7 linked regions of the Cricetulus griseus genome follow. The protein of the gene in region 2 interacts with the protein of the main gene of each other region in a pairwise test. Links are inferred from orthologs where the notes say so. Each region holds a gene or a part of one and is shown on either strand. Other genes may lie near its edges. The genes, in order: Bfsp2, Ushbp1, Cops4, Cep68, Txlna, Ccdc146 and SEC14-like protein 4.

Region 1 (4,677 bases), on a different chromosome or scaffold from region 2:
TTGGTGTCCATCTGTTCTTCATAGATCTTCTGTTGAGGCATTTTATAGCTGTCTAGTCCATAGGTTATAGAGTTGCTGAATTCTGTAGACATTATTAAATCCAGTTTATAGATGAGAAACGGAGGCTCATGCATTGTAGAAGTGTTTTTTGTTTGTTTGTTTGTTTTTCAAGACAGGGTTTCTCTCTGTAGTTTTGGAGCCTATCCTGGCACTCGCTCTGGAGACCAGGCTGGCCTCCCTCCAGAGTGCTGAGATTAAAGGCGTGCACCACCAGCGCCCCTATAGAAGTTTTTGTAAAACTTCTTTTGTAAAAAGAACAACTTTTTTCTCTTCTGTCTGCATAGCACCGTCTGGCACTATGAAAGCTATCATGCCAATTTCATGGCTGAACTTTCTAACCACGATACTGAGATGTTGGTTCCTTCCTGGCACGTGGGTATCATACCGTCCAGTAGATGCTGCTGAGGTTGGAATATCTGGGATGTTCTAGGGGTTAATATGTCATACAATATTTAAGACTCAGATAGTTTTGTGGATTCCCTGAGGGGTGGCTACCTCTTGGACAGGTTGTGAGGCCCTCCCTGGATGTTTGAGAACAGCTGCACCAGCCAGAAAGATGGTATTGCACCCTCCTTCTCTAGGGGAGGGTGAGGGTGCTGAGAACAGTGAGATGAAATGGGGATTCTGTGTATGCCCCAGGCATCAGCCAACAGTACAGTTTGTAACCTCTCAGGCTGCATGCCTGACTCCAGGGAGCAAATGGGACCAGGATTTGGCTGCTTCTGGCTGGGATAAGAGACTGGTTTAGTGTGCAGGGATCCCAAGGCCAGCATTTGGGGAGAAAGGGGAGAGAGAAGTCGGCTACCCACGGAGTGACCAGCTGAGATAAGCAATGCCAATAGGATTCTAGCCCCGAGGACCACAGCTTACAGGCAGAATTGATGGATGAGCTTGGAGCACTGCAGAAATTGTCTCAGAGAACACGACACAGCCCTGACCAGGTGAGGAAAAGGAGCCCTCTGCATCCCTGCCCAGAAAGATGACTGTCTACTGTACACAGTGATCAGAAGGAATAAAATCCAAGTAACACAAAAAATATCAAGTTCTCAGTCTCATAGCCATAGCCCAAGGACTCGGTTGCCACAGAGGGTGTTGCATAGCTATTTTCTGAATTGTAGTCCCTCTGGGAGGAGATGGTTCCTAAGGTCCAGGAAACTTACAGAGCTTAGGAAGTTGTAAGATTCACCACCCCCAATTATATATGTGATAAACCCTTGTTGGGGAAGGGAGACTTGCATAGGGCTGCCTGCAAATTGGGCAGGGAGCTGCTCCAGGGGTGCAGCTTTCATGAGCATCCCCCATGTGCCTTGATTCTTCCTTTGATTCTGTTATTCTCCTGTAATTAACCCCAATAAACTCATTGGTCCCCAAGCTAGACTTTGGTAGAATCTTTGATCTGTTGATGGTGCCCTGTCTGGGGTGAAAGTACTGGCTCATGTCTGTGCAAGAGGAGTCACACAATAGGTGGCCAATACTGTAAAATGTTTCCATCCACCATCCAGAAAGTTCTATTTAAATCTCCACTGTTGGGCTGGCACTTTTATATTGATTTCATGTTGAAATAATTTTTGCTATCTTGATTTAAATAAGATAATATTAATGCCAACTTCATTTGTGTTTACACATACATACACACACACACACACACACACACACACACACACACACACACGCGCGCGCACAGGCACGCATGTAATAGGAAATTGAAAATTACCAGTATGGTCCATATTCACACTGATACCATGTATGTGGGTACAGGAGCACACCTTCACTTAGTCATCATTTAAAAAAACACATCCATTCAGTGGTATTTGGTTCTATGGTGGCCTGAAAACCTTTTAAGTAACTGTGACAGAGGCAGTCCCAGATAATAGGACCAATGCAACTTTGGAGGAAGGAAAATCCAGGTTAGATAGTGACTGCCCCTCTCTGTTACAGTGGTTCTCAACCTTCTAATGCTGTGACCCTTTAATACAGTTCCTCATGTTGTGGTGGCCCCCAGCCATAAAATTATTTCATTGCTACTTCATAACTGTAATTTGGCCACTGATATGAGTTGTAATGTAAATACCTGATATGCAGGATATCTGCAAAGAAACCCCCAAAGGGGTTACCACCTGCAGGTTGAGAACTGCTACTCTATTAGCTTGTGGACTTGGACCGTGTTACACAGGTTTTCTTATTTGAAAGGTGTATGCCGTGCTAGTTTGGTCACAGAGCACTACTGGAATGTTTTGGGGGTGGTGCATGTGCACCTAGAGGGGTCCTGGCCCCTAGTCAGCCCCAGTGAATGGCAGCCAATGTTACCATTAGACCACCAGCAGTTTTGGTACGAAAGGGGTGAGCTCTCCCGGCCTCAGACTACTCACCACTGTTGCTGTAGCCTCCAACACCCCCTCTCAGGACACTAGCAAGCCTTTAGATGAACAGCTGGAGGACTTACCTGCTGGTAGCTGCTGGCCCAGGAGGCCCGGAGGGCATCCCAGCCTCCAGAGCGTTTGGCCTTGCTCTCCAGGTGAGCCCGCAGCTGTGTTTCCAGCTCCTGGCTGACTTGTTCAAGAGCATGCACTTTGGTCATATATTCCACTAGGCAGCTCCCCAGGTCTTCAACAGCAGTGTGATCCCTTTCTGGGCCTGGAGCAGGGACAGTGGTAAGGCCTGAACTCCGTAGACCTTGCAGGAAGACACTGCTGATGCCCAGAGCCCGACGGGTCACTCGGGCACTGAGGCCACCTATGCACCCACTGGGTGCTACTCCTACATAGACCCCAGGTGCACGGATGAGGCTACCCAGTGCACTGGTCCTGGATGCTGGGGGGCTCTCAAGGGAGGATGGAGACCGTGTCCCCCTGAGGGACACCCTGTGCCTCTGCAGGGGCATGCTGGAGTTGGCTCCAGGGGGCAAGTCCGCTGCCACTCTCCTCTCACTCATCATTCTCTCTGCCTCTGTGGTGCCTGGCAGGTTTACAGAGTTCAGTGGCTTTTGGTTGCTAGTCCCAGCATCCCCATGGCCTGGTCACGGGCCTCTCTGGAAGCTCCTCTGTCCCCGTGTTCTTTGTCTACTGCCTTCCATGAGCTTCTGTTGTTCATTGAGCCAGAAGAGAACCACCCCGCCAGCCTGTGAGAGGCACACAGGCGTTCTCTGATGCTGGGTCATGTGCCCAACCAATCCAGACTTTTCTGCTGGGGTGAGGGTGCTGGAGCAGTGCAGGTTGTGGGAACGGATCCTCTAGATTTGTCTTATTTCTTTTTAGACAGGGTGTCTGAGTCTGGCCTTAAAATCTCTATGTAGCCAGGATGAGCTTGAACTTCTGATCTTTTGCCTCTAATCCCTGCAATAGAATCCAGGGTCTCATGCATACTAGGTGAATACTCTGCGACCTCTATATCCCCAGCCCGTGGGTTTGTGTATGTTACTGCCATAGAGAGAGTCGGGCAGGCAATAAGTGGTTCTGTTTCACCGGTAAGGAAACAGGCTTGAGGACCTTGGGTGACAAGTGTACTGATCACTTTATATCTCACAGCACAAGCTGGGACTCATTGTAGTGGCCTCAGGACCGATTGCAGGACTTTCCACACCCCTTGACGTGCTGAGGTAGGGGTGTGCACATGCGTGTTCATGTTGTACATCCACATAGGATCAGAGGATGGATGTGGATGTGAGCCAGCCATGGACAAAGGTGCAGCCCAGGAGACCCAAGGGAAACAAAGCAACCTGCTGCCCTCAGGTCTGGCAGCCGTTCCAGGCCCCTTCCAGCTTCTCTCTCCCCCCCTCATGTCTGCCCTCTGACACAATGCTTGTCAGCTGCTGGCCCTGGCCATGTTTCTCCTCCTCTAGACCTTGCCGTACATCTGCCTGATTGCTAATTCTGACACATCAGATGCTCTGGAGCCAGTTTAGGACCTGAACTTCTGGGAAGCTGTTTGTTAGGCTCTGCTCTTTTCCACCTCTGTGTCTTCCTCTAATAAGACTAGGAAGTTGAAAACAACAAAACAATTTCTGGAAAGCACTCATGGGTGCTACAAGTTAGGGTTGCTGGGCACCTCAGGTTTTAATCGTTGCTTTTGGCATACTCCAAGTCACACTTTCAACGGTCACATCCCAGTCACTTCTTGGGGGCTTAGAATGGTCCCTCCAGCCTGGGAATGTGCTCAGGTTGTAGTGTATTGGAACTAAGCATCCCAGGTCTAGAGATGGACATACTCCTTGACCCTATAATGTGAGGATGGACCTGAGTCAAGAGACGGGAACGGGAGTCACCTTCTGGTAGGTACTGAGTATACTCAAATTCTGAGCACAGTTCCACTCTTTACCTCACTGACTTTTCAATCCAACTTTAGAAGGCAGGAAAACACAGGGCTGACAAGTACTGCTGTTTGGGTGCACACTGTACAATCCCAGAAGTATTATAGATACCATTACTCCCCTTTGTGACAGGTGACTCTGAGATCCCATGTCCGGAACTTAGCAGAGCTAAGGAAGCCTCTCTGTTCTGGGGACTTACATAGGTTGTCTCTAGCACCTGTCAATCGCCAGGGTCACACAGGTTCTACTCATCTGCTGGAGCACTGTGTGCACTTTTATTGTCTATTTATGAAATCTGCGATCTTTCCCTT
Region 2 (4,614 bases):
GTGTATTAGTGTTTGGTCTGCATGTGTGTTGTGTGAGAGTGTTGGGTTGCTGGGAACTGGAATTACAGGAAGTTGTGAGCTTCTGGAAGAACAACCAGTGAATGTTCTTAACTGCTGAGCCATCTATCTCTCCAGCCCCCGCCTTTTTGACTTTTTTCCTTTTTAATTTTTAGGAGACTCAGTGTTTCCCTGGGTTTTCTGGATCTCCCCAGCTCCAGCCATCCTCCTGCCTCAGTCTCCCACCATCACACTCAGGAAGGAGAGTTTCATTTTTATGTTGGTGAGAAGAGCCTCTCCAAACTGAGTGCTGAGCACCCTAGCCCAGTCTGTCTTTACTTCTATTTTGAGACGTTTGCCTATCTTGTCTAAGCTATTGTGATCCTCCTGTCTTAGGCTCTAGAGTTCTTAGCATGACAGGCTTGTCCCACAACACCTGGGTTTAACATCACACACAATCTGCCCATTTCTGGTCACCACCACCTTACTCTTCCCCGGGCCCACTGTTATCGCCCCTCCCCCACCACCAGGGTCATGGTCCACCACCAGGCTGTTCCTTCCACGGTCAGCAGATGGCGCAAGGGAACACCTCCAGCAGGTCCAATTCCCCGCAGAACCCAGAACCCTCTGGGGCTTCGCAGTACACATAGCACAGCTGCAGTCCTGCTCAGCCTCCACATCCTGCATACTGTGGTAGTCCCTCCTTGCCTGAGAGTTTTAATATGAAAAGAGCCTCTTCCTCCCCAATTGCTTTTTAGTGGTGGTGTTTTATCACACCAATAGAAACCCTAAGACTGGATTGATTTGTGTGTGTGTGTGTGTGTGTGTGTGTGCGCGCACGTGTGTGTGTGTGTGTGTGTGTGTGTGTGTGTGTGTGTGTGTGTGTGCGCGCGCGCCAGGACCTCACACACTCTAGGCAAAGCCTCTATCACTGAGGTACTCTGAAACTTTTAAAAAACAAACAGAAAAATTGACACAGGTCTTTAACCCAGGCTGGCCTTGAACTCAGTCTACATCTGAGAATGACCTTTGTCTTGACCAAGTGGCCTCTGATTGAGATCTGTCTCTCCTCAGCTTCTGGGGTGCTGAGATCATGGGGTGCACCCTGCCTGGCTTCCTTTTGACCCTCTCTTTCACTTTGCTGTCTTCCTTGGTCACTTCTGTGGCTGTCATTCCTCCACATCAGTTTGTTGAATGAATAAATGTGTGTTTGTTCAGCTCACCTGTCTCTGCAGAATCTCCTTCTCTGCCTGGGCATCCTGCAGGGAAGCCTGAGTGCAAACCAGCTCATCCTCATGGCGGCCCAGGGCCAGCCGCAGCCAGGCGTTCCTCTCTCTGAGGCGAGCTGCCTCGTGCTGTTCAGGCCAGGCTTCTTCCTGACCATCAAAGGGCTCCAATGCCATCTGGTCTCTCTCTTCTTTTTCCAATGGCCTTGGAAAGCTTCGGGAGCGGTGGCGCCAGGCGGCCACAGTGGCCTCAAGGGAGCTCAGCCTGCTCTGCAGGGTCTCAAACACACTGGGTACTGATGTGGCACCAGAGCTGGTATCCAGAGGGGCTGCCTGCAGGGTCTGGTGGCCTTCCACCTTTGACTTCAAGGCTATGGCCCCGTGGGATCCCATGTCACAATCACCCTCAGGCCTGGAAAGACAACCCAGGAACCCCAGCCACCTGAGTCTGAGCAGGGGCTTCAGGGCTAGACCTCAAGGTCCCTGGGAAGGGTGAGCAGGCAGTGAGCTGAGGAGGAAAAGGAAGGGAAGAGAGAGATGGAGGGGGATAGAGGAGGCAATGGACACTAAGAGAGGTGGGCAGGGCAGCTTTGTGAGGGGCTCCTGCTGGAACAGGAAGTAAGCACTAAATTCGTCCTACCGTTTCCCTGGGCTCTGCAGGTCAGGACCAAGGTGCTCCTGAAGTAACTCAGGTTTGGACTCGAAGCTCCCATTGGTGGCCTCCACCTCCTCTGAGCTCTCAGCCACTGGGTCCAGCTCCCCCTGAAAATGACAACCCCACCACGGCAGGTTCTAGTCCAAGCAGGCCTAGGCTCCAGGATCCATGAGGTTGGGTGAAGCAGGAAGAGGGGCACACTTACAGGCTGAGGATGCCTCCCTCGGCGGCTTCGGGGCCTAGTGGCCCGGGCGCTCATTGCCTCTTTAACCCCCTGGTTACAGCCCGCTCTCAGATCTTCCCTTTGTCTCCCCGTATCATTCGGTTTTCACCCTAGGAATTTTTGGTCAACTGCACTGACAGAACATTTGGATACCTCTCCGATGGTGCCCATTGCCTGTCTATTTGCCCCAACCTCTTGCCCCCTTCTCTGGTGCTTTTCCCTCATCAGTGTCCCCCTCTCTCCCCTATGGAGGTATGGGATAGGGACCCCAAGAATCTGCTCTCCTCCCAGGACTCTCCTAGCACCAAGCTCCCTCCCCTGGGAGTGGGGGGCTCCACCCTCTCCTCTGCTCCAGGGCACCTTGGGAAAGGCCTGAGTGCCTGGGCACATCTCAGGTCATCCTGGCCACTGGCTGCTGAGGCTGTGCTGGCCAAGGCTGGCCTGGGAGGGGCTGAGAAACAGGAAGCCTCCTGCCCTGGTCACATGGAGAGTTATTGTCTTGTTTCCTTCTTCAGGATGTCAGCTTCCTCCAGAATGTGGACAGGATGGAGAATTGGGACCCTTGTGCCACTCCAGGCTAACAGCCCAGCCCAAACTTGCAGTCCCTTTCTCTGTTTCCATTTCAGGGTTTCTCAGTGTCCATCCCCAGGTTCACCAGGGCTCACTCTTACTGTAAGCTCTCTCTCTCTCTCATTCTCTCTCTCTCTCTCTCTCTGTGTGTGTGTGTGTGTATGTGTTACTCTCTCTGTCTCTGTCTCTCTCTCTGCGTTTCTCTCTCTGCCTCTCTGTCTCTGTCTCTCTCTGTGTGTGTTTCTCTCTCTCTCTCTCTCTCTCTCTCTGTGTGTGTGTTTCCTCTCTGTCTCTGTCTCTCTCTCTGCGTTTCTCTCTCTGCCTCTCTCTCTCTCTCTCTGTTTCTCTCTCTCTCTGTTTCCTCTCTGTCTCTGTCTCTCTGTCGTGTGTGTGTTTCTCTTTCTCTCTGTGTGTGTTTCCTCTCTGTCTCTGTCTCTCTGTTGTGTGTGTTTCTCTCTGTGTGTGTGTCTGTGTGTTTCCTCTCTGTCTCTGTCTCTCTGTTGTGTGTGTTTCTCTCTGTGTGTGTGTCTGTGTGTTTCCTCTCTGTCTCTGTCTCTCTGTTGTGTGTGTTTCTCTCTCTCTGTGTGTCTGTGTGTTTCCTCTCTGTCTCTGTCTCTCTGTTCTCTCTCTCTCTCTCTCTCTCTCTCTCTCTCTCTCTCTGTTTCTCTCTTTGTGTGTGTTTCTAAAATTAAAAATAACAAACCTGTAGGCGTGGGCTCCAACATTGGAATAAATTTTATTTTTCATTACTTTGTTCTATCTATTTGTGTCTGTGGTGGGTGAGCTGCAAGCACTCGTGGGATCGATCCTCTCCCTCGGTCAGGCGTGGTGGTGGCCGCACCTGCTCTCCGACCCACAACGGTTTTCTTCAAGCAGAGCACCGTCTGTTGGCGCCGGAAAGCTCCCCCGGGACAAGGAGCCTGTCCACGGTATCTGCGGGATTTTCTTTATTTTTCCTTTCCATTTTGGCTTTTAGAAGTGTCTCGTATAGCCCAGGCTAGCCTAACACCTGACGTCATCTTCTGCCCTCTGGAGTGCGGAGATGACAAGTGTGCTCCCCAGCCCCCATCGCGATGGTATTGGTGAGTGCCAACATATGTAAAAGACGAAGCAGAAATACATGACGCAAATCCACGTCAAGTCCCACCGCGTCAATCACCAATCAGCCCCGCCCAGGTCGGCTCCTGTCCTATCTCAGCAGAAGCCTTGACAAGTGTAGTGTTGCTTCAGTCAACCCCGTTCTGTCACACCCATCCCTAACACTACCCCACTTCAGCCCCACTCCTGCCAGTGTGCTCTAAGGCACACCCCCAGGATCCCGGGGCCATTGAACTACATTTCCCAGAAGACGTTACGGCAGCACCGTGCAAACTTCCGGTCAGGAAGATGGCGGCTTCCTAGAACCCTGTGATTGACTGGCTGTGGTTCCTAGGTTGCAGAGTGGAACCTGGCGGTGTGATCTCGTGCGAGCTTTTTGTCGTTGTGGTCGGACATCGATCCGGCTTGCTGCAGTTCCAGGTTCGTTCTGCTTGAGGAGGTGGGGGCTCCGGAGTCCTGAGTCGCCACCCCGAGAAACGCGCATCATTGCACGGTCGGCGACTTGGGCTTCCTGCTGCCCCAGGACCTGATCACCCGCGGGAGCGCCCTCCCTCGTGCACGGCCCGGTCCCCCACGCGCGGTAGCCGTAGCCGCGGGTGGCGGGAACCCAGACACAGGCTCGCCAGAGCCAGCCAGGCAAGCGGGGCGCTCAGGAAAGGCTTCAGGCACAGCTGGACCCGGGCGTCCAAAAGTGGCTCAGGTGTTCGCCTAGACGCTGGCCGCCCCGGGGAAGAGGAGCTCTGAGAAGCTGTCAACTGTGTCCTCTCACTCGGCAAACCAATTAAGTCTCTTTTCCACCCCTGTCTTTTGGGACTGTCAGGTGCGGTAGCCACCGAAGGCCTTAC
Region 3 (4,379 bases), on a different chromosome or scaffold from region 2:
ACTTTTGGGAGTGTATTTTACTTGCATATATCTTAAACCATGCACATATAAGGTTATTCATTGCACCATTGGTTACTCTCTTAAAGCTACTTATATATCCTATAAAGACTAAATGTAATGTACCATCATTACCTTTAAGAATAATGCTAACAAAGGACTGGACTTACATTGCTGGATTGTCCGAAAAGTGAAAACACCAAAGATAGAACAACAAGATGTGTCATTTATTGTGAAAAGAAGAGAATGCAAAGTCTTGCACCTATTTGATTGTAATTTTGCAAAGTTTTGAAATAATACATAAATAATGAATGTAATCTCATCTAAAAGTAAGATGACCATATAACTTGTCATTCAAATAACGGTTTGTAAAGTGAAGGCAGTATCATTAATAGTTACTTCAGGACAATAGTTGAAAAATAACATTGTTCTGATGAATACTTTTAAAAGATATAGGATGTAACAGAGAAAGGGAATACACATATATAGTCAGTCCACAGGGATGTGTGTGTACATTAAATCTATTTCCTAGACTCTTGTCTCTCATAGGTTCTCTCATGGTCCAAGCTGGCCACCAACTTGCTAAATTCAGGAACATAGCCTTGAACTTCGAATCCTCCTGCCTCCTACCTTTGGAGTGTTGGTATTGCAGTCTAGCCTTTTTTTGCGGGGGGGGGGGTGCGCTGAAAGCAGTCCACTGATATTATTATAAAGTATGCAATTAAGTTTCTCACATGTGGGGAAGCGCAGACATCAGCACCTCTAAATGGTGGTGCCTTATCCTGAGAGAATTATTTTCTTGTCCGTGGTGTATTCCCTCCTAGCTAAATTGTGTGTGTGTGTGTGTGTGTGTGTGTGTGTGTTTGTTTGTTTTTGCTTTGTTTTCAATGTTGGACTATCTTGAATTGGAAATAAAAACTATAGACAGCTCATTCTTTACCATAGGTGATTTAGAGATGCCTTAAAAAAGAAGGGCAGAACGACGACCCTCAGACCCGGAACTTAGTGAAAACGCTGTAGTTTTAACGCGCCGGGCCCTTACTGAGGTTGCACAAGGTACACTCCTTCAAGGGTTTAAGCCAATCTCAGTTCGGAGCGTGAGAGCCAGCGTCTCTCGAGAGGCCTGGGCGGGTCTCAAACGGGAGGAGAGGAGTTTGGTGTCGCTCAACCCCGAGGGCGGGGCTAATTCCGGCTCCCACACTCGGCGCTCTAGCCCGTAAAGACGCGATCTATGGCACCTCGGGTTCCCTCTGCCTGCGCTCTGGAGGACCACACTCGTTTTCTTTTCGGCTGCGAGCGGTCCCGCAGCCGTGGCTGAGCTGGAAGAAAGATGGCGGCTGCCGTGAGACAGGATTTGGCCCAGCTCATGAATTTGAGTGGCTCTCATAAAGATCTGGCGGGCAAGTGAGTATTTCCTAGGAGTCCAGAGGTGGGATGGGAGGCACAAATTTACCTTCCTAGAGGTGCCGGGGGCTCTCGGGTGTGGGGCCGGGGTGGTAGGCCCGAGGGCTCAGGGGGGCGGGCCTGGTTCAGGCTGTGGCGGTAAATGCTGGGAGCCGCAGAAGACTGTCAGGGACCGTGTGCTGGGGTCCAGACCGCCCCGAGACCCGTGCTGACTGCAGCGTCTTAAGTCCTTGGTAACGTCCTCCACGGGTTCCTTTGGCTTCTGCAAGCGTGGCACGAAAGATGACGGCTCCATCGGCGGTGGCCGCCTTCGTTAGTGGCTCTGGAGAGCCCAACATACCGAGTTTGACTTCTGTTTGCTGCCGCCACCGCCCTCACCTTGGTGGAGATAAATTTATAGTCTGGGCTTTGATGCAGAGTTTTATTTGTTTGTTTGTTTGTTTTTTTTAAGAGAAGGCTTTCCAGGGTGACAGGGGCCGAGGAGTATGGCCGTTGTCATGTCGCCCAGAACTTCTCAAGTTTAAATAGCGTGTGTAGGTCCTTATGTTCTGGATACTCTCCCTCAGTCTCTGTCACCAGCTCTGCAGAAAAGAACACAGGCAGAATGTCCTCGATCTAGGATTTCTAGAACACTGATGTTTCCATAGGCTGTTTAGGAATTTTGTAGAAACCTTAGAATGCTTAGGTCCACTCCAAGTCATAATTTGTTATATATGTATGTATGTATGTATGTATGTATGTATGTATATATATATTTTTTTCTTATTATTATTTTATGAAGGTATCAGATCCCCTGGAACTGGAGTTACAGACAGTTGTGAGCTGCGAATTGAACCGAGGTCCTCTGGATGAACAGCCAGTGCTCTTTAACTACTGAGCCATCTCTCCAGCTCCCCCTGTTGAACAGTTTTAGTCGTTTTCTTTTTGTAGATTTCATAGGTTTGCTCTCTGCTGAAAGTCTTTGTTTTTCGAGACAGGTTTTCCTGTGTAGCACTGGCTTTCCTGGAACTCACTCTGTAGACCAGTCTGGCCTCAAACTCAAGAGATCCGCCTGCCTCTGCCTCTGGACTCCTGGGATTAAGGGCATGCACCCCCCACACCTAGCTCTTTATGCTGAAAGTAGGCCTCCAATTGATTTTACATGCTGGCAGCTGAGAGCACGTTGATCTAACTGTTGAACACTCTTGCTCAAGCCTGCACATTGATGTTGTGTAGATGTTGTATGGCAGCTGTGCTGCTTTTTTGCTGGTAAATTTAGTTATACCCCAGCCTTAACTACTTTATGCTTCCTTTTTCTGCTTAAAAAAAAAGTGGTAGTGTGATTGTGAGACTTAGTCTTACCTGATTTCAAGATGAGTGTGTGTCTGTGTACTTATCACACTAAATATCTGAGTTCTGTCCCTGGTATATAGAAAACGCCATAGAATTGTTACTATTAAGCAGTCGGTAAATATATACTGACTTATTCCAGGATTTGGAAGTAGTTGACTATGTCTTCATTGTTTAGTCTTTTTTGCATGTATTAATACTTTTTATTGGTTTGGATGAAAGTAAAACTAGCTTATGTATTTCAGAAAATGTAAGGCCATTAGTTGTCAGATAAGCTGTAGCTCTTTGAACTGGGAAGCATTCTGGAACTTTGGCTTACTCCTTAACTTCTTTAGCTTTGAATTGGAGATGAGCAGTAGTATGTCTCCAGTGGGTTGTTTCTTTGTCTGTTGCTGCTTAATAAACGTACAGTTTAGTGGTGTAAGCATACTTTTCTCCCCAGGATTCTTTGTGTCACCTGGGCTGTCTTCCTGGTCTTGCCTGGTTCAATTAAACAGATTAATTTGGCTAGCAGTTCAGTTAGGGCTGGGCTCATGTCAGTATCTGGCTGTTGGCTGGGTCTTTTATTCTAGTTTCATAGTGTAGCTTTGGCTTTCTTCTGGGCTTCTCCATTAGAGTGTTCTACCTGAGTGAGAATGAAAGCTGAAAGGCTTAAGGCTAGCCTGAGAAGTCTTCCATTGACTCTGTAATACTGGTGAAAGCAAGTGATTCAGGGGGAAAGGAAATGGAATGTACCACTAACTTTTTAGTAGCAAAGTGATATTGCAAAGGAGTCATTGGAAACTATTCTTGTGGCAGTTTACCATGTGAGTTTATTATTCAGAGCAAATGAAATGATTGGATTGATAAATGGTAGCCCATGTAGTACTAGCTAGCTCCTCCCTCAGTATCACTTTCTTTTCTTTCTTTTTCTTTTTTTTTTTTTTTTTGGTTTTTCGAGACAGTTTCTCTATGTAGCTTTGGAGCCTATCCTGGCACTTGTTCTGGAGACCAGGCTGGCCTCGAACTCACAGAGATCTGCCTGCCTCTACCTCTCGAGTGCTGGGATTAGAGGTGTATACCACCAACACCTGCTTTCTTTCTTGTCTTAGGATTTAGTTGATTATTTTTAATTTTTATGTATGTGTGAGTGTGAGTACCATCTGTGTGCAGGTGCCCATGGGTGCCAAAAGAGGGAGTCACCGGGAGCCCTCTGACCTGGGTGCTGGGAATTGGATTCAGGTCCCTGGAAGAGCAGCACCCTTGACCACTGAGCCATCTCTCCAGCCCTCCCTCAGTGCTGCTTTCTGGCCTTGTCTCTGGATGTTTGCCCAGTACTATCTGGGTAAGAATGTTAGGATGTTTACCCCTGTAACAAAACAGTTCTGCCAGCCACATAACTTTATGAAGCACCTATGCCATGTGTTTATTTAAGGTTTTTATATTGGGAACTGCGAAACAAAAGATATCTAATACTGAAGCCCTCTGTGTTCCCATACAGTGTATTGTTCAAGAAATGTTGGTTAATGAGTAAATGGCTAGAAGGGGACGTAACATAACTTCTATTTGAACCCATGTTTGTCTTAAAAGCTCACTTTTAACTAACCAGACTATATTGCTTTTCTTGCTAAAAACTCAATTAGAAGTGCTTTCTGATAATTGAATTAACA
Region 4 (3,933 bases), on a different chromosome or scaffold from region 2:
GGCAAGAGAATCTGTGCAGGTTCAAGGTTGGCCTGACCTATATAGTGAGTTCCTGACTAGTCAGAGCTACATGGAGAAACTCAAAAACTAAGCAACAACAAATAAAACACAAGAACTATTAGTGTTACTATTAATAGTCATTTGATAAAAAAAAATGGATGAATAACCTAGATACTTCAGAAGAGGATATTAGGAAAGACCAACAAACCTGTGAAACAGGTTCAGTATTATTAATCAGAGGGAAAGAAAACTACATTGATATGACAGAAAAGGAACTCATTGCTGGTGGGAAGCAGTATGGAGGTCTTCACAAGACTAGATAGGGCAGCAGGATCTGGGAATCCCACTACTGACTACTGTACATCCAGGAGAACAGAAGCTACACTCTCCTCTTTACTGTGTTCTAGAGACATCGGAGATGGAACTGGTATGGGAAATGGGAACAACCTGAAAATGGCTGTCAGTTGAAGCTGATGAGAATTCTACATTGAGAAAATAAGAGTGCCACCGCAGTCTAAATTCAATTGCTATATATAATACTGGCTGGTTTTCAAAACAATTATGTGTACATGTGTAGATCCGTGTGTGTGGGTAGGTGTACATGTGAGTCTAGAAGAGGACACTGGATGCCCTGGAGCTGGAGTTACAGTGCTTACAATACCTAAGCTGACTTTCCACTTCCTGGCTAGTTCTTTCTTTCTGGTTGTCACCTGTATTTTATTTTTAATCTCTTCCCCTCCCCCTCTCTGATAGAATCTCACTATGTAGCCCAGCCTGTCCTGAACTATCAAACCAGGCTAGCCAGAAATTTAAGATGCTCCTCTGCCTCCCAGAGGAGATTGGGATTAAAGGCATGCACCACCATGCCTGACTCTTCATCTTTAATTTTATATTGACTAATTCAGACTTTCGTATTAAAATTCACTAGCAGATAAATGGGTTGAATTCCTAAGGGCAACTCTAACACACTCAGTGAAAAGGCATGTTCCAATTTATAGCCACATACAGTGGACATGTGTGTCACACCAGACCCATAGATAAGTATATCATGTGTCAATAAACAACCAAACAAAGCTCTTGGTTACCCACCTGGGGTGTTATCCATCAGGCACTGAAGAAGAATCTCCCCCTTCTCCAAGACATTCTCTGTCAGGGACTGATGTTTGTCTATATCTTTCTTAAATTGCTTAAGACATCAGAAAAGAAAAAAGTTTCAATACTATTGCTTGTAAAAGACATCTAGAATGAACACTATCCAACACCTGACTTCTCTAAATGGAAGATAGCCACCACGCAGTCAAGAATCCCTCAGTAGACTTATCTTGTGGCAGCTTCTTTGAGTTCATGGACATATATTCACTGATTTTGTTTGTTGTTGAGACAGAGTCTTAATTTAGCTCAGGCTGGTCTACAGAGTCCTCTTTATCTTCCCCAGTGCTAGGATTATAACCCTGTGCCATCGAGTCCAGATCAACAGAAGAGTTTTCCCCAGAAGAAGCTGGCTCGCTCTTGGACAGGCGTAGGGATTCCATTTTGTACACTCCTTTATGGTGGTCTCTAACTCAGGTATGTGATTGACCCTTAGAATGAACATGGTAGGTAAGAACTACAAACAGCCGGGCGTTTAATCCCAGCACTCGGGAGGCAGAGGCAGGCCGATCTCTGTGAGTTCGAGGCCAGCCTGGTCTCCAGAGCAAGTGCCAGGATAGGCTCCAAAGCTACACAGAGAACCCCTGTCTCGAAAAACAAACAAACAAACAAACAAAACTACAAGCAGAAGTTTGTTACTACACTAACCACGCTGACCCGTGCTCCCCTCCCCCATCTTTATACCCCTTCTCTGAGGCCTCTATAATAACACCTTGACATCAGGGAAGCTGCTATTTTCCCAAAAATAGGTTATTTTCCCAAGCAGGTTATCCCTCACAGCTACAAAGCATCGTTGCTGATTTTTATTTTCATTAAAGGCAGTCCTGGCTGCCCTAAACTCACTATGTAAATTGGGCTGGCCACAAACTCATTGAGTTATGCTTGCTTCTGTCTCCTGAGTGCTCAGATTAAAGGCATGTACCACCATAGTCAGCTCTAGTTAATTTTTTAAAATCTTTTTTTTTTTTTTTTTTTTTTTTTTGAGACAGGGTTTCTCTGTGGCTTTGGAGGCTGTCCTGGAACTAGCTCTTGTAGACCAGGCTGGTTTCAAACTCACAGAGATCCACCTGCGTCTGCCTCCTGAGTGCTGGGACTAAAGGGGTGTGCCACCACCACCTAGCTAAAATCTTTCTTTAGCCAGTAAGAATCATATAAAATTAAACCCATGCCATGGGACAGACCTCACTGCTTAGTATTTTAAGGGTGCTAATCTTACTCTTGGATTTGTTCTCTTGCCCTCAGTATTCCTTTGCCCCCAAACTGTTTTTATCCTCCTGTGCTCTAGGGAGTTTAGATGCTGCCTCAGCCCCACTGCATCAAGAAGAAATACAAGTACAAGAGAGGATGACTGGGGACAAGTACAGGAGAGGATGAGTGTCAGTTAAAATATGAGCATACATAAATCCTAGCACTCATTCTCCGTCTAAGCAAGAGCCAAGAGAGCTCATTTGTAAGTCATGTTCCATTCTGGGGAGGGTGTCAGCAGTGTCATCTCACTGACACAGCTGTGTACATACAAGAGGCCTAAGCTTGACTAATATGCAGGAATAACTTCTGACTCAATTCCTAGCTGTCTACAATGCAAGATGGTTGCAGCTGGAAGTTGAGTTATAGAGGGGGTTATGAGGGCTCAAATGAAGAATGGAGTAAACCTATTTACACTTGTTCAGCCAGGCCAGGAAAGGCTACTGAGATAAGTCTGATAGAGCAATTCCTTTCCCTGGGACTCCCCGGGGCACTCTCCAGGCACAGACACGCTGAACAGAAAGAACCTTCAGGTACAGCCTTCCTCTAGTTTCTCTCTATCTCTACACTGTATCTAACAGCATTCCTGCCATGGCAGGACAGCTGGCTAGCCCAGGCTAGATTTTAGTAGATTGCAAGACAGAAAACAAAGGCCTTCCATCCAGATGAGCTGAGTCAGAGCTTGGTGGTTAATCTCACCCTCTTCTGCTGACTCAGTGTTAGGTTACATGATTAGATCTGGGTTCCCCATTTCCCTGCCAGGTTAGCAGCAGGCCTGGGCCACAAACACTGCCACCATGTGATCAAAGTCAGCCAGGTTTACCTGAGGTAGCAGTTACAGGAATTACCCTCCATTTCAATATGCTTTTTATCTCGTATCATTAACTAAAATTCATAGGTGTGAAATAACAGCCCTTAAAAATAAGCAGACATAAAATAAAATCCTAAGTCCCAAACATAGATACAAACTGGTGTCAGATTTGGGGTTAAATATGACTTAAATCTGTCCTATTACACAGCTTCAGCTGAGTTCCATAAACACAAATACAGTTCAGAAGAACTCTGGTGACGTGTCTGTGTTTGCACTGCCCTGTGTGGCAGCCACTGCATAGCAGTGGTACATATCAGACTTAACTGTCATACATGACTACCGTCTGTAAACCCCAGGCCTATGGTTCTAACCCTGAGACACCTGCCAAAGTACCATGCAAATCCCTCAAAAGTATTTATTGTTCAAGACAAATTTTCCTCTATCTGGCCTGGGAGTTCAAAATTTAGAATTTGAAAAAGGTGTCTTAATTAGATTTATTCAGATAAAATAGTCTGAGCTACAAGATTCCAGTTACTTGGAATTTTATTTTGTAAGTGACTTAACCACCAATCTTGTGAGTGAGCAAGCCAGGAGCCAGGACCACACATTACCCGGTAAAGCTGCAGAGAAGACTTGAGACCTGTAAGAGTGGACCTGGGTGGAGTACTGAGGTCAGCAACGTCTGTGACATTATACAACCAGCAGATCAGCTCTTCCAGCTGACAGCA
Region 5 (3,933 bases), on a different chromosome or scaffold from region 2:
AAAGCGGGGGTGGGGGGGGTGGGGATGGTGAGAAGGGTTAAATAACCATCTTTAAAGAAACAACATTCTCACAGAGTGCCTGAGCGCTGCCCATGGTCCAAAACCCTCATGGAAAACAAAGTGCTGGGGACATAACATACATGAAGCTCTCAACTGGACAAGGACCTAAGTATCACTGAGGGTGTAGCCAAGGGCCCTGGACACTAAGCCTTACCCACTGTGGTCCTCTAGAGAAAAAGCTAACAATCCTATAAACCAACACAGATCTTGGTCCTAAAATGAGGTCATATGCATGGACTCACCCAAGTGAGGAAGGCATTAGACCTCACTCATAGACAGGCCACCTCCCTACAGCTGGCCCAGACTCCTGGGCTGACTTAGGAAAGCAGAGCAGCTGTAGTGACTTCAGATTTGGTCAGTGGAGAAGAGATAGGAAGAGATTACCATCTAGATATTGCCCTGGGTGCCTAGAAATTGATGGAGCTAATAGCTCCAAGGTTCTATAGACACATTGTAGCTTCCTAGCCCATACCTCTGAGACCAAATAGCTGTAACCCCTGCATGGGCTTTAAGAGGTAGCTGAAGTGAGGCAGGCCAATTATTTGGGCCACAGCAGAAGATACCCTGTCCTCACACCTCTGCGGCCAAGCATGCCCCAAAGGGTTAACAGTTCAGATCTCAGCCTGGCACAAGGGCTGGAAGAATACTATGATTTCCAAGAGAAAAACCTTAGGAGACCCTCCACAGGACAACAGATCCTAGCTGGAGATGGCAAAGAAGCCTCAACATTTACACTGCTGCTGGGCACCCTGAGTAACTAACTATACAGGGTAGCAAGTTCTTGAAGTGGTAGTGCCCAACACGGGAAAAGGGACATTAGTTTGTAATTTCTGGTCTTGAACACATGATTGTAAGCAGTAATGTTCTATTTACTTTTGGTTTTCTGACAAGGGGTTCTGCTCCTAGCCCAGACTGGTCTGATGTTCAGTGTCCTGTTGAGTCCTGGGTTTACAGGCACACACCCAGCTCAATTTTGAAAGATGAAGCAACTTACAGGATAATGCAATAGCTGAAATACCACAAGAAGCAAAATTTCAACCAATCTTTGTCTATGGTTTTCTTAGCTTACAGAAGCTGTCAGCTCCAAGACACTGTTGCCCCAGTGAGCTGCTGTGTAAACTGAATACCCTGGCAGGTGCACTACAATAACCTCAGCACAGAGCTGCCACACGTGAACACAGATGTGAGTGGGATGTGGAGGAAAGGCAAACACAACTACCTGCAGCTGTTTTGGTTCCTGGGATCAGTCTGTTGTTATAAGTTATTCTTGACACCTGGAGGCTCAGGCAGCAAGAAGTGAAATCCCAAGGACTCTTTTTTTGGCCAAGAGGGTGCTAGCAAATGGCACCAGAACAGTCTTCAGAGAGGCATCTGGATCTAGGGACCAGCAATGGCTACATGGAGATGGAGATGAGAATTAGTGGTAGCCTCCCAGGCTGAAACCCATAGGCAAGTTTGTGGCAAGGCCAGTATCCTTTCTCTTAATAATCTTTTTATCTTCCCAAACAGGACACCTTGGCACCAACATGGCAAAGGACCCTGACAGGATTGTCCCAAATGGGGCGCTGGAGGCCAGGCACCTGGGACCATTGCTAGTGTATCCCCTCTTCCTTCCTTTGACGATCTTTAATACGAACTCTTAGGCAAAACAAAACAACAAAAACACCTCCAAAAAGAATCCTTTGGGTGACCGTCTGTCAATCATTTGTGCAGGCTAGAGGCACCTGTGAATGTAAGGCTACTGAGAACAGAGAAGCAACATCGGCCTGGACCTGGCACTACCAGAGGGCAGGAGAACTGGTGCCTGAAGAGGCTCCTTCACACACAGACACACCCCTCAGTTTCCTTGTCTTGGGCAGGAGGAAGCTTAATGACAAGCTGTTTCTTACAAAGGCTCTGCCCAGGAACACCATTCCCAGGTCAAGAGAAAAATGGAACCTCCAGGGGAATGACAAGAGCCCAAACTGCCCAGACTCTGCTTACAAAGGAGAAGAGTCCAGGGCTGGGTGTTTCCACTCTTCACGAGCTCTGAAAAGGGCTGACGGGTCTGAGCCTCAAAATCAGGCATGAAAATGTTCAAGTCATCTGACCTGCTGGCTCAATGGATGGCAGCTACAGATGAAATCTCCTAAGACTTCAGTTTACAGTCACCAACTTCATCTGCATACCCCACCCTTGGTAAAAGCCCACTGTACACCTACAGGTGTTAACTAACTGCACTGCACACCTGCCCCATCCATGTAAATAAGACTAACCCACAATTTAAAAATTGCAAAGTGTCCAATGCCCTCCAGGTCACAATACCCTGGCCTTAGCACTAGGCTGCTCAGTGTGGGAGCCTTGCATGAACCAGGCCTGACTGGGCTGCTGCTCCCTTCCCAGCATGCCCAAGCACCATGATCTCTAGGCAGTGGCAGAAGTGGGCTGCCGGGGCCCTGTTTGGCCTGCTGTTTCTGTGCTTGGTACTCCAGGACAGCCAGGAACTTCTGTGGCCCTTGGGGAGCTGGATGGTTGAGCTCCAGGACTCTCAAGCCCTTGTTCCTTGGAGGCAGTGGCAGCCTCTGGCCTCCGCTCAGTGCCAATGTCAGTGAGGGAGCCCTGGGCACCAGCAGTCAGGTCCTGTACCCTCTTGTTCAGGTCATTGCGCTCTGTCTGCAGTGCTCGGCATAGCTTCTCCAATCGTTGGATTTTCACCTGCAGACCTTCCAGCTCTTTGTCCCGGAGAGTTTTCTAGGTGGAGAAATAAATGGAGCATTCAGTGAGACACTCATTTCTTTAAGTTTGTGCAACTTAAAATCAAGAGTCGGCCCCTGCCGTAAATAGCCCTAGCTTACAGTATGACTTTATTGTCAGACAATGTATCCCTCTACTTATCTACCAGATGACCCAGGCAAATCATTTGCAACTTGAAACTGTAACATCTGTTAAACAGAACTAGCCAACCTCAGTTCTCAAAAGAAGGTTCAAAGATGAGATATATCAAACAGGAGAACTACCCTTTGCAAATAAATGAAATAAATAAAACAGACTACTGGGCAAAACTGGCTTGCAGCTGCTGTACTATGTTAGTGTCTATCTTGTAGACTGCAAGCCACAGTCACAACTCTGAAATGCTCGACATGTGAATCACACCAACCATTAGGACCCACTGTTTCCTGTTACTGGGACCCAGCCTGGGTGCCTCACATGACAATACTGGTAGCAGCCAGCATTGTCACTGCACTTGGATAAATATGACTAGAAATAGAGTTATAGATCATGTGTAGTGTCACTAAGAAACAGGTAGAGGGCTGACAGACCATAACTGCACCCAGCTCACTGGACTCCACCCACCTCTTCAGCCATCTCGAGCAGGGCCTTATTGCTGCTCTCCCACCGGGATCGATACATGGTCGTTTCTTTCTCCAGCTTTTTGATCTTCTTTGTCATCTGTTACATGACAGATGGAAAGGAAAAGGTCAGAGTTCGGCTGTCTGGACATCTGTGCCTCCAAGGAAGGAAACATTACACTTGTGCCAACTGAAGAGTCTCAAGTTAAGTCTACCACTGAGGGGCTGACAAGACTGCTTAAGAAGTAAAGGAGGAACTTGCTACCAAGCCCGATAATCTAAGTTCCATGCTTGAAACCCACAAAGTCAACTTCTGCAATTCTATGGTGTATGTATACAACAAATACATATACCCCCCACCAAAAAAGTGATGTAGGGTGAGCTGGACAGTGGAGGCACATGCCTTTAATCACAGCACTCAGGAGTTGGATCTCTGTGAGTTCAAGACCAGCATGGTCTACAAAAGCTAGTTCCAGGGCAGGCTCCAAAGTTACAGAGAAACCCTGTCTCAAAAACCAACCAACCGCTCAGTGGTTAAGAGCAC
Region 6 (4,524 bases), about 75 Mb from region 2:
TTTAAATTGCTTTATAAGATTATCAATATATAGTCAATTTAATTATCACTTTCTTATTTGGGAGCATTTAGAGCATTAGATTATTTCTAACTACAAGTAGCCCTATAAGACAAAAATTCTTGTACATTCATAATTTTATGCTTTCGTCGCCCAAACCCACAATTTCTGGATCATATTGGCTTCACCTTCTGTTTCTAAATCTGTCTCCTTACATGTCACTCTTGGAGAGTAACAGCTATCCTTCTTAACAGTGTTTTGTGAGGATATAGGGAGACAATGCACATAAGCATGTTTTGAAAATGGTATTTGTTAGTCACTATTTACATGTGATATATACATGTTAGGTGTTGGTAACTTTAATATCGATCAGAGTCTCAGTTCTCAACCTCATGAAACCAGAAATGTAATTTTCAATAAGTTTTAGTTCCTTTATTTGAAAGTAATGAAATAATGATAGTATTACATATGCCATTAGGGCTCAGTTGGCAATTCTATTAATTTAATTTTTCTCAGAATGGGAAAATTACTATAGAAACAGGATAATTTATTATGGATGCATTTTATTTACTATATGTAGCAATCATACAAGTAATCTGAATTCATCGTCAACTTGCTTGTGCCATTTTCACTTTTTCAAAAATATGCCTATGGGTTTTCATAAAAAGATAATTTGAAAACTAATCTGATAATTATGTCCACATAAAACACAAAGCTAAGGACATTATTCATAGAGCAGGCTCTTGCTTAGCATAAAATGTATTTTATATCTTCCAGAGGCAGGCTAGAACCACAGAAATGATGGAGACATGGGAAGGAAAGGAACCTTCATCTCAGAGTGCTACCAGTGCCTCTCGTCAGCTGAAATCATGAATTCTAACGAAGTTACAACATTATTTATGAAGGGTGCCAATAGAAAGGTAACATTTCTTTTATATAGAGATATCTCCAAATTAGAATGTTGAAGTAGCAATGGATCACGCCCAAGACCTAAACACAAGAGGCCTTTCTTCTTTCTCAGCTATAAACCAGCAATTTTCTAGGAATCTCACCAGAAACCCTATCTACAGTAAATACCTCTTACAGTTAATACCCTCTTCTACCATTCTTATGACACGTGGTTTTATTTTTGGACAGTAATCCAGTCTAGGACACCTCTAGAACCATCCAATAATATAACTTATTGAGAAAAAAAGAGAGAAAAGGTTTTAAAATCCTTTCTAAGAAATCTTTCAAGGCGTAACTTGAGAACCACCAAAAGAGTGACTCTCCAGAGCTCCTGCTAAGACACTTGAGGGTATAATGTCTTTGAAAAGCCTACACCTGTGTTCTTGAGCATGTCTTATTTTCCCTGAGTGATCATCTCTGTCAACCCCTATGCTTCATAAATCTATGTTTAAAATCTCTCTTTTTTAAATCAACTCCAACTCTTTCATACTAGCTAATTCCAACATTAATTTTTGCAGTAAAGCCAAGGAAGGGCTTCGCCTCAGTGGAAGTCCCCAAGGGTAAGAGGACTTCTTGGGCTGCTGGAAGCAGGTCTGGGCTGCTGCACCGAGGCTACCATAATCTTCACTAAAGGAATAATACAGACACTGCTGAAGACTTTAGATCAGTCTACCAATCTCTCTGTTACTTCAGGTCCCAAGATTTGGGGTCCTCATTTTGGCTGAGGGCTTCTGTCTTTAAAGGCACCATTTTATTTTATTTTTTGAGACAGAGTTCCCTTTATGTAGTGCAGGGTGACCTCAGATTTGAGATCCTCAGCTTCAGCTTTCCAAATTCTGGAGGATTAAAAGTGAACACCGATACATAGGACTGGCATTCTATCAAACTTATCTATCTATACTTAAGGAATTTAGGGAATTGTTTGTAGAGAGTGGGAGAGGCTAGGCAAGCAAGGGTGAAATAATGGCTGCACCCCACACTTTCCTTATTTTTACTGCCTACTTAATAATAAAGAAGGAAAGAAGCCTTATAGAGTTATTTAGTACATTCTATCTTTACCTCAAAAATGAAGGACCAGGTCCCTGTGACACAGATAAACCAATAGGGCCAGGAAAAAAGACTTTCCCCTCACAAGTCTTATGGGAAAAAAAAACTTTTAGTTTTTTACCACTAACCCCGAGGATCATTTGTAGTGAAAGAGATCTATAAAACAGCTGACCTGAACAAGGGAGAGCTCTTGGTCCCCAGACTGATAGCTGGGAAACCAGCATGGGACTGATCCAGACCCCCTGAATGAGGGTGTCAGTGAGGAGACCTTGGAAATCTATGGGGCCCCTTGTAATGGATCAGTATTTAGCCCTAGCATAGGAATGGACTTTGGGAGCCCATTCCACATGGAGGGATACTCCCTGAGCCTAGACACAAGGGGGTGGGCGTAGGCCCTATCCCAAAGGCTACCACAGACTCTGAAGACGCCCCCCATGGAAGGCCTCACCCTCCTTGGGGAGCAGAAAGGGTTTAGGATAGGTAGGGTGTTAGTTGGGGGGACAGGAGAGGATGGGAGAGAGAGGGAACTGAAATTGACATGTAAACTAATCTTTCTAATTAAAATTAAAAAAATTAAAAAAGAAAAAAATCTAAACGAGACCAAATGCCTCAAAATTTCCCAGCAATTTAGAAACAATGCTATTCCTAAAACACCACTTTACTCGTTTTGTAGACTGTGCACTACTTTGTCAACTGTAGTTTCAATGGATCCTTGTAAAAACCCTCCCACACAAGGCAAGGGAGATACTGTTGCCGTCATTCTACAAGAAAATAGTAAAACCTAAAGGCACCGAATGAGTGGCTTAAGGTTGCTTACAGTTAGGACAGAGCCAGGAGCCCAGCTCTCTTTTCTATCCAGTACTTTCTAGGCAAGAGGAAGTTCCCTTACAGGGCAGAGGAGGAGGGGGCCCAGCCTACAGGGGGCAGCTCTGCGTCTACTTCCCGTCTGTGAACACGCCGTTCTTACCCTTTCTCTTGGTTCTGGTCCTTATTCAGACTCTTATTTTTCTGCGCGGGTTTTAGTCCCTGGGAATCTCACTCCAAACTCCACACTCTCCAAACGAGTCGCGTCCTTGGTATCCAAGGTAGCCGCGCCGCTTGTGCAGCCTGGCCCTTCCGCTCTTTCCATTGGTCCGTGGGTCTCTTGGGCCAATGAGATTGGAGCAACGGCTAGGCTTTTCCACCAATCAGCTCGTGTCACTCTATCTCTCCGGCGCACTGTCTCCTGGGATATGTAGTTCCAAGGCCCCTGGAGCACTTGGATATCCGCTACCTTTAGAACTACATATCCCGGCGGCCTCCGACCAAGGGCGGCAATAGAGGAAGAGCAGGGTCAGGGTTTTAACCAGTGGTACTTTGAAGTTGTCACTTGTCACCGGGTTTGCTTTACAGCCTTCGGGCCTCTATCTCGGTGGCGAGGAGGCCTTGTTGGTCCCGCGCTGCGGAGCGGGCATGTGGGGCCGCCTCTTGCCGGGCGCCCTCCGCGGGCGGGCGAGCGTCCTCTTCCGGGGCTCGCACGGGGCGCGGCAGGGCTCGGCGCCCGGAGACCCGGCGCTGATGCAGTGGACGCTGCGGGTGAGCCCGTTCTGGCGGCTGAGGACGCGGCTCCCCTGCCACCTGCTCGTCAGGGCCCTGGATCCCCTGGCGCACCCGGACGGCGAGCGCGTGCGGGTGGCGGTGCGCGGTGCAGAGCGCGGGGCGCGCGGCCTGCAGGTGGAGTACGACGCCGCTCGGCGGGAGGTGGCCGTCCTGTCGGACGACATCGACCCCCGGGCCTTGGTGGAGGTGGACGCGCCCCTCAGGTTTGGCAAGTGCAGTGAAAACTGGTTAGGATTCCTGCTTTCCAACTTCATGGAACAAATAATAAGTTAACTATATAGATTTGGAGACCTACGGAGTAGAGGCATGGAGACAGTAACCAGAAGCAGGCTTCTGGTTAGAAGTAACGATGAGATTGGGATTGACAGCAGGGGTGGCATCAATTTTCACAGGTGCTGTTTTAAGTTTTGTTTAGCTCTCCATTGACACCCACCTGTGATGGTTTGAAAGAAAATGGCCCCCAAAGGGAGTGGCACTAATGGGAGGAGTGGCCTTGTTGGAAGAAGTGTGTCACTGTGGAGGGTGGGCTTTGAGGTCTCCTATGCTCAAGCGACTCCCAGTAAGACAGACTACTTGTTGCCTGCATAAGATGTAGAACTCTCAGCTCCCTCCCCAGCACCATCTGTTTGCAGCTGAAATGTCCCTCCATGATGATAATGGACTGAACCTCTGAACCATAAGCCACCCAATTAAATGTTTTCCGTTATAAGAGTTTCTGTGGTCATGGTGTCTTCACAGGACAGAAACTCTTAAGACACCACCTTAATCTGTATTGTGGTAAAGCCCCCTCAGCACCTTCAGATTAGTACATGTGGAAGGCACAGCCTCTTAGTCATCTAGGCTAGTCAGGTGAGAAGCAACAGAGCATAAAGGCTGAGCCATTCCAGTCAGCTCAAATCCTAGCCTCATTTCTTTGCATTTAAGGCGGCAAGG
Region 7 (4,443 bases), on a different chromosome or scaffold from region 2:
CAAATAAAGAGGCCCAGTGGTTCCCTACACACAGAGGTTCTGGAATGAGGATTAAGTTTGAACAAAGAACAAGAGAGGCATGCATAACTAAGCAGTCCTGACAAGAGGTGGTTCTATCCACCACCAACCTGTCATGTTTATCCAGTCTATCAGAGGAGCTGTTAGAACAGTGTGAACCTCTTCTTGGGAGACAAGTACCTCTCCTGCCTAGTGCCAGTGCCTTCCCCGAATAAATACCAGAACTCTGGCCTTTTCTTCCCCAATTCTGGGTGATTCTGATGAAGGCTAGCCTCATGGTTCTAGAGACATTACCCCAGAAATTGCATCCTGATGGTCTGGAACAGAGAAGAGTTCCTCTCTCTTATCTTCAGTTGCCTCATTTGTGAAATGAAGGTAATGTCAAATTTGTCCAATCAAAGCTTGAATGTGTTTAAAATAAACATGTAAACCAGGTTTGGTCGTGCATATCTGCAACCCCAGCACTCAGGAAGATGAGGCAGGAGGATCAGGGGTTTGAGACAAGTCTGGGCTACATATGGAGTACATATCTAAAAAAGAAAAGAAAAGAAAACCAACAGGACTGAAGAGATGGCTCAGCAGTTAAAGATTGGATATTCTTCCAGAGGATCCAGGTTTGATTCCCAGCACCCACATGGCACCAGCCATGCATGTGATGCACATATATACATACATGTAAAACACTCATAAAACACACACACACACACACACACACACACACACACACACACACACACGCACACACACACCCCCTCTGTAAAGCTGGACCTAGTGCCCTAGAAGCAGAGATAAGTAGATCTTGTGATTTTAGAGCCAGTCAGGCCTGGGTACCTCAAATCTCTAAAAAGTAGCAATAATAATTGTTTAATTTTTGAGACAGGGTCTTACTATGTACGTAGACCAGACTGACCTGCCTCTGCCTCCCAAGTGTTGGGATTAAAGGTATTTGCCACCATGCCTGGCCAATAGTAATAATCCAAAAAATGAGAATACATTCTGCTTTGCTTACATAATTAGACGGGAATATGTGAAGACAAATGACCAAACATAAAGGAAGAAAGTCCCACACTTTAACAAGCAGACCATGAGGCCTTGGGGCTGATAACCCACAATGCTGTGTACAAACATTCACAGCCTAACCCCTAATGGCTAGTCTACAAATAAGTGGTGCTCTATAATTTCCTAAAGTCAGCCTCAGAGGCAGCTACTGACCCTGCACAAACAGCTTATTTGATGACTAACTAAACTTCTAGTCATCTGCTGTGACAGGCCAACCTACAGCATCACCTCGGTCAAGTCATACCTTCTCTGGGAGTGCACTGCTGTCATTGCATGGCTGTGCATCTAACAGATTCTCCTCTTTGGCCTTTTTCTTTTTGGTAAATCCATAGCCTTCATGTACCTCACCTGTCACTGTCATTCAGCGTGATAGTCTGGTGCTAACAAGGATTAAAGCATGAATCCCCGAAGGCAATGAGAAGATTCACACTGGAAGACAGCTGCAGCCTCAGGGACCAGAGGAATTCTTGTTGGGGTTGGAGGGTGTGAAGGGGGACAGTGCCCCTTAAGAAACAATAATGCTGCACCCCTCATCCCCTCTAGGCAACTGTTCCCTCAGCCTGGAGAAAAGCCACCATATAGTGTCATATGAAGATTGTGTGTCCGAAAGTGTGACCACAGTATCACATGAAGATTGTGTCTGGAAGTGTGACCACAGTGTCACTTGAAGAGTGTGTGTCTGGAAGTGTTACCACAGTGTCACTTGAAGAGTGTGTGTCTGGAAGTGTGACCATAGTATCATATGAAGACTGTATGTCTGCAAGTGTGCATAGTGTCACATGAAGACTGTGTGTCTAGAAGTGTGACATAATGTCATATGAAAACTATGTGTCTGGGAGTGTGACCACAGTGTCATACCAAGACTGTGTGTCTGCAAGTGTGACCACAGTGGTCCACGCTAAGCTCAGGAAGACTAGACTCTAGAAGGAAATGATCCTATGCACAGTCGTGCAGAGCTCTGGTCCATCCACAAGCCTTTCCCCTTCTTCCTCGTTTCTTTTCTCATAATTTTTAAAACAGCTCATAGGGCTCTCTATCACAATCTGATCCCAGAGGCCAGATGTCTAGTTCCAAAAGAACCCTGTGCCTGGTGCTTCCTGAGGCCATCAGTGCTGGGAGGCTGGTCAGATCCCACTGTTCCACTAAGGACCTCTCTTTCACCAGGAGAGCCTTGGCTGAATTCCAAACTCCCCTCCTTCACCCAGGACTCTCATTTCTCCCTGTAGGGTCCTTCCCTATGGGAGACACTTCAAAACAATCCATTCATCTCTTGTTCTTTGAGAGAGTGTCACTAGGTTCAGCTAGTCTTGAACTTGACAATCTTCCAGCCTTTGCTTCTCAAGGCTGGGATTCCAGACCCAATGCCTCCGGTGCCTGGCCTTCTGTCACAAATCTTAAGCTTCCCTGAGTGTGAGCCTGGGCTGGACTCCTAAGGCCTGGGCCTTCCCTTTCTGGTGGCTTCCCTTCTGTAGGTACAGCCTACAGTATGCTCTCAAAATAAGAGCCCTTAGCCTTTTATTTTTCTGTGATAATTAAAAGTAAATAAATACCTCTGATAAGAAGACTGTGAACCCTGGCAACAGAAACCAAAGCAAACCAAACATTGTCGAAATCTGGGCAGAGCTCTCTGATCTGCCTGGCAATAGCCACAGGCTGGGAACAGAGGCCAGGGCTGGGTGGTGGAGCACGCTGTGCTGGAAGGCTGAATACACACACACACACACACACACACACACACACACACACACACACGCACACGCACACGCACACGCACACGCACACGCACACGCACACGCACACGCACACCATGAAATAACCCAGAGAGGAGAGGAGGGGTGCAGTATGCAGTGCAGCGGCCTTGGAACAGTGCTTGGGAGGCACTGGGCTTCACCATCCAGTCCCCACACAGCACTACAGCCAATGTGAGTTCAGCTCCCGCACCTTTCACCTTCCACCCGCCTCACTCCTCACCCTGGCCAGTGTCTCCTGCTGCTGCGGGCTCAGTTCTCCAACTTGTCCGCTCATGGTGCTCTCTGCCTAGCTTCGTCTGCCACCACCCTGGCCCAGTTATGCCTAGCAGGTCTGATGCTGGTCCCGCCCCATGGGAGAGTCACTGTTTCTGCCCCGCCCTACCCAGTGCTCCCTGGTTTTTGTTTTTGTTTTGTTTCGTCTGCCCAGGTCATCAGGCCTACCCTATGGGGCAGAGGGGTGACTTGACCTCAAGAGGTAGGTGTCTTGAGAGTCTGAGGCAGCAAGTGGCCTCTACCTCCACGTCTTCACATGCTCAGGGCTCTGACACTCAGGTAGCAGTGGGCTGTAGGTGTTGGGGGTGTTAGGGATGTGTTCACCTAAAGACACATGCATGGGGGCAGTCTCTTCAGAATTGAGGATGTCACTGCCCCAGAGTTCTTTTGCCTAAGGAGAGACCAACCCCCTTTCCCTGACCTTGAACACAGGCTGGGCTCCATGAGTGGTCACTGGTCAGGAAGAGATCCCTTATGTGCCAAATGGCTCCAGCCCTCTAGACGTTGAGAAGGGTTAGGTAAGATGTGCCTCCCATGTTAGCAGAATGTCTGGTATGTCACACTCACTGTTATGGACACAGTTTCAAAACTGTTATGAAGGCTCTCAGTAGAGCCAGGAGCTACAGGATGGCCCAGGTGGTGAATTGTTGGGAGGTATCACAGCTAGAGTGACATATGACAGCCCAGGAGTGGGTGGGGGTGCTTTACACTGAGTAATCTGATCTCTCTGAGGAGGGTGAGAAAACACAGGCTGCCTTGGCATGAATTTTCTGGACAGCAGGTGGCAAGGGAGGGGGGAGGAGGAGGTGAAAACAGGCCACTGAGACCTTTCCCCTCTGTCCTCTCATGGGTCAAATCAAGTTCCAGATATAAGATGACCAAGCATGGGCTCATGTGAGACTGTTGCCCATTGGAGATGTGATTGGTTACCAGCAAGTATGGGCTGTACTAAGTAGAAACAGCAAACTAGATTTCAATGATTTAGTACCAGAAACAGTTAATATTTTATTATTTTTGCTACTGATATCATATGTTGATATGATATGTTTTTAAGATATACTGAAAACATAAAATACATTAAAAAGGAGGAGAAGGAGAAGAAGAAGAAGAAGAAGAAGAAGAAGAAGAAGAAGAAGAAGAAGAAGAAGAAGAAGAAGAAGAAGACAGGTTCTTATGCAGCCCAAGATGGTTTCAAACATTCTACATAATCAAAGAGAATCTTGAATTTTTGGTCTTCCTGCTTTCACTTTCCCAGTGCTGGGAGAACTGGCAGGTGCCACCATGCCTGGTGTGCTGGCTAATTTTATGTCAAATTAACATACACACATATGGAAACTCTGCT

Evidence for each region.
Region 1: the proteins of Ushbp1 (region 2) and Bfsp2 interact in binary tests that used the Homo sapiens proteins (3 or more experiments, as listed by UniProt). The two-hybrid records come from large-scale screens. The link is inferred for Cricetulus griseus from reciprocal best matches to the Homo sapiens genes USHBP1 and BFSP2.
Region 3: the proteins of Ushbp1 (region 2) and Cops4 interact in binary tests that used the Homo sapiens proteins (3 or more experiments, as listed by UniProt). The two-hybrid records come from large-scale screens. The link is inferred for Cricetulus griseus from reciprocal best matches to the Homo sapiens genes USHBP1 and COPS4.
Region 4: the proteins of Ushbp1 (region 2) and Cep68 interact in binary tests that used the Homo sapiens proteins (3 or more experiments, as listed by UniProt). The two-hybrid records come from large-scale screens. The link is inferred for Cricetulus griseus from reciprocal best matches to the Homo sapiens genes USHBP1 and CEP68.
Region 5: the proteins of Ushbp1 (region 2) and Txlna interact in binary tests that used the Homo sapiens proteins (3 or more experiments, as listed by UniProt). The two-hybrid records come from large-scale screens. The link is inferred for Cricetulus griseus from reciprocal best matches to the Homo sapiens genes USHBP1 and TXLNA.
Region 6: the proteins of Ushbp1 (region 2) and Ccdc146 interact in binary tests that used the Homo sapiens proteins (3 or more experiments, as listed by UniProt). The two-hybrid records come from large-scale screens. The link is inferred for Cricetulus griseus from reciprocal best matches to the Homo sapiens genes USHBP1 and CCDC146.
Region 7: the proteins of Ushbp1 (region 2) and SEC14-like protein 4 interact in binary tests that used the Homo sapiens proteins (3 or more experiments, as listed by UniProt). The two-hybrid records come from large-scale screens. The link is inferred for Cricetulus griseus from reciprocal best matches to the Homo sapiens genes USHBP1 and SEC14L4.

What each region holds. Positions count from the first base shown.
Region 1 is NC_048597.1:211,724,875-211,729,551, forward strand, and holds the start of Bfsp2 (phakinin), read right to left. Parts: upstream 2,993-4,677; coding exon 2,504-2,992; intron 1-2,503.
Region 2 is NW_023276806.1:247,620,541-247,625,154, forward strand, and holds the start of Ushbp1 (Usher syndrome type-1C protein-binding protein 1), read right to left. Parts: upstream 2,832-4,614; 5' UTR 2,462-2,831; intron 2,212-2,461; 5' UTR 2,138-2,211; coding exon 2,084-2,137; intron 1,986-2,083; coding exon 1,864-1,985; intron 1,636-1,863; coding exon 1,221-1,635; intron 1-1,220.
Region 3 is NW_023276807.1:162,549,797-162,554,175, forward strand, and holds the start of Cops4 (COP9 signalosome complex subunit 4), read left to right. Parts: upstream 1-1,179; 5' UTR 1,180-1,327; coding exon 1,328-1,401; intron 1,402-4,379. UniProt on the Homo sapiens protein: Component of the COP9 signalosome complex (CSN), a complex involved in various cellular and developmental processes.
Region 4 is NW_023276807.1:86,250,919-86,254,851, reverse strand, and holds part of Cep68 (centrosomal protein of 68 kDa), read right to left. Parts: coding exon 3,817-3,933; intron 1,187-3,816; coding exon 1,090-1,186; intron 1-1,089. UniProt on the Homo sapiens protein: Involved in maintenance of centrosome cohesion, probably as part of a linker structure which prevents centrosome splitting. Required for localization of CDK5RAP2 to the centrosome during interphase. Contributes to CROCC/rootletin filament formation.
Region 5 is NC_048595.1:23,407,714-23,411,646, reverse strand, and holds part of Txlna (alpha-taxilin), read right to left. Parts: intron 3,490-3,933; coding exon 3,394-3,489; intron 2,791-3,393; coding exon 2,464-2,790; 3' UTR 1-2,463. UniProt on the Homo sapiens protein: May be involved in intracellular vesicle traffic and potentially in calcium-dependent exocytosis in neuroendocrine cells.
Region 6 is NW_023276806.1:173,067,492-173,072,015, reverse strand, and holds the start of Ccdc146 (coiled-coil domain-containing protein 146), read right to left. Parts: upstream 3,113-4,524; 5' UTR 2,960-3,112; intron 1-2,959. Other genes in the region: protein FAM185A, read left to right, coding at 3,445-3,799. UniProt on the Homo sapiens protein: Essential for sperm flagellum biogenesis and male fertility.
Region 7 is NW_023276807.1:100,840,319-100,844,761, forward strand, and holds the start of SEC14-like protein 4, read right to left. Parts: upstream 3,103-4,443; coding exon 3,049-3,102; intron 1-3,048. UniProt on the Homo sapiens protein: Probable hydrophobic ligand-binding protein; may play a role in the transport of hydrophobic ligands like tocopherol, squalene and phospholipids.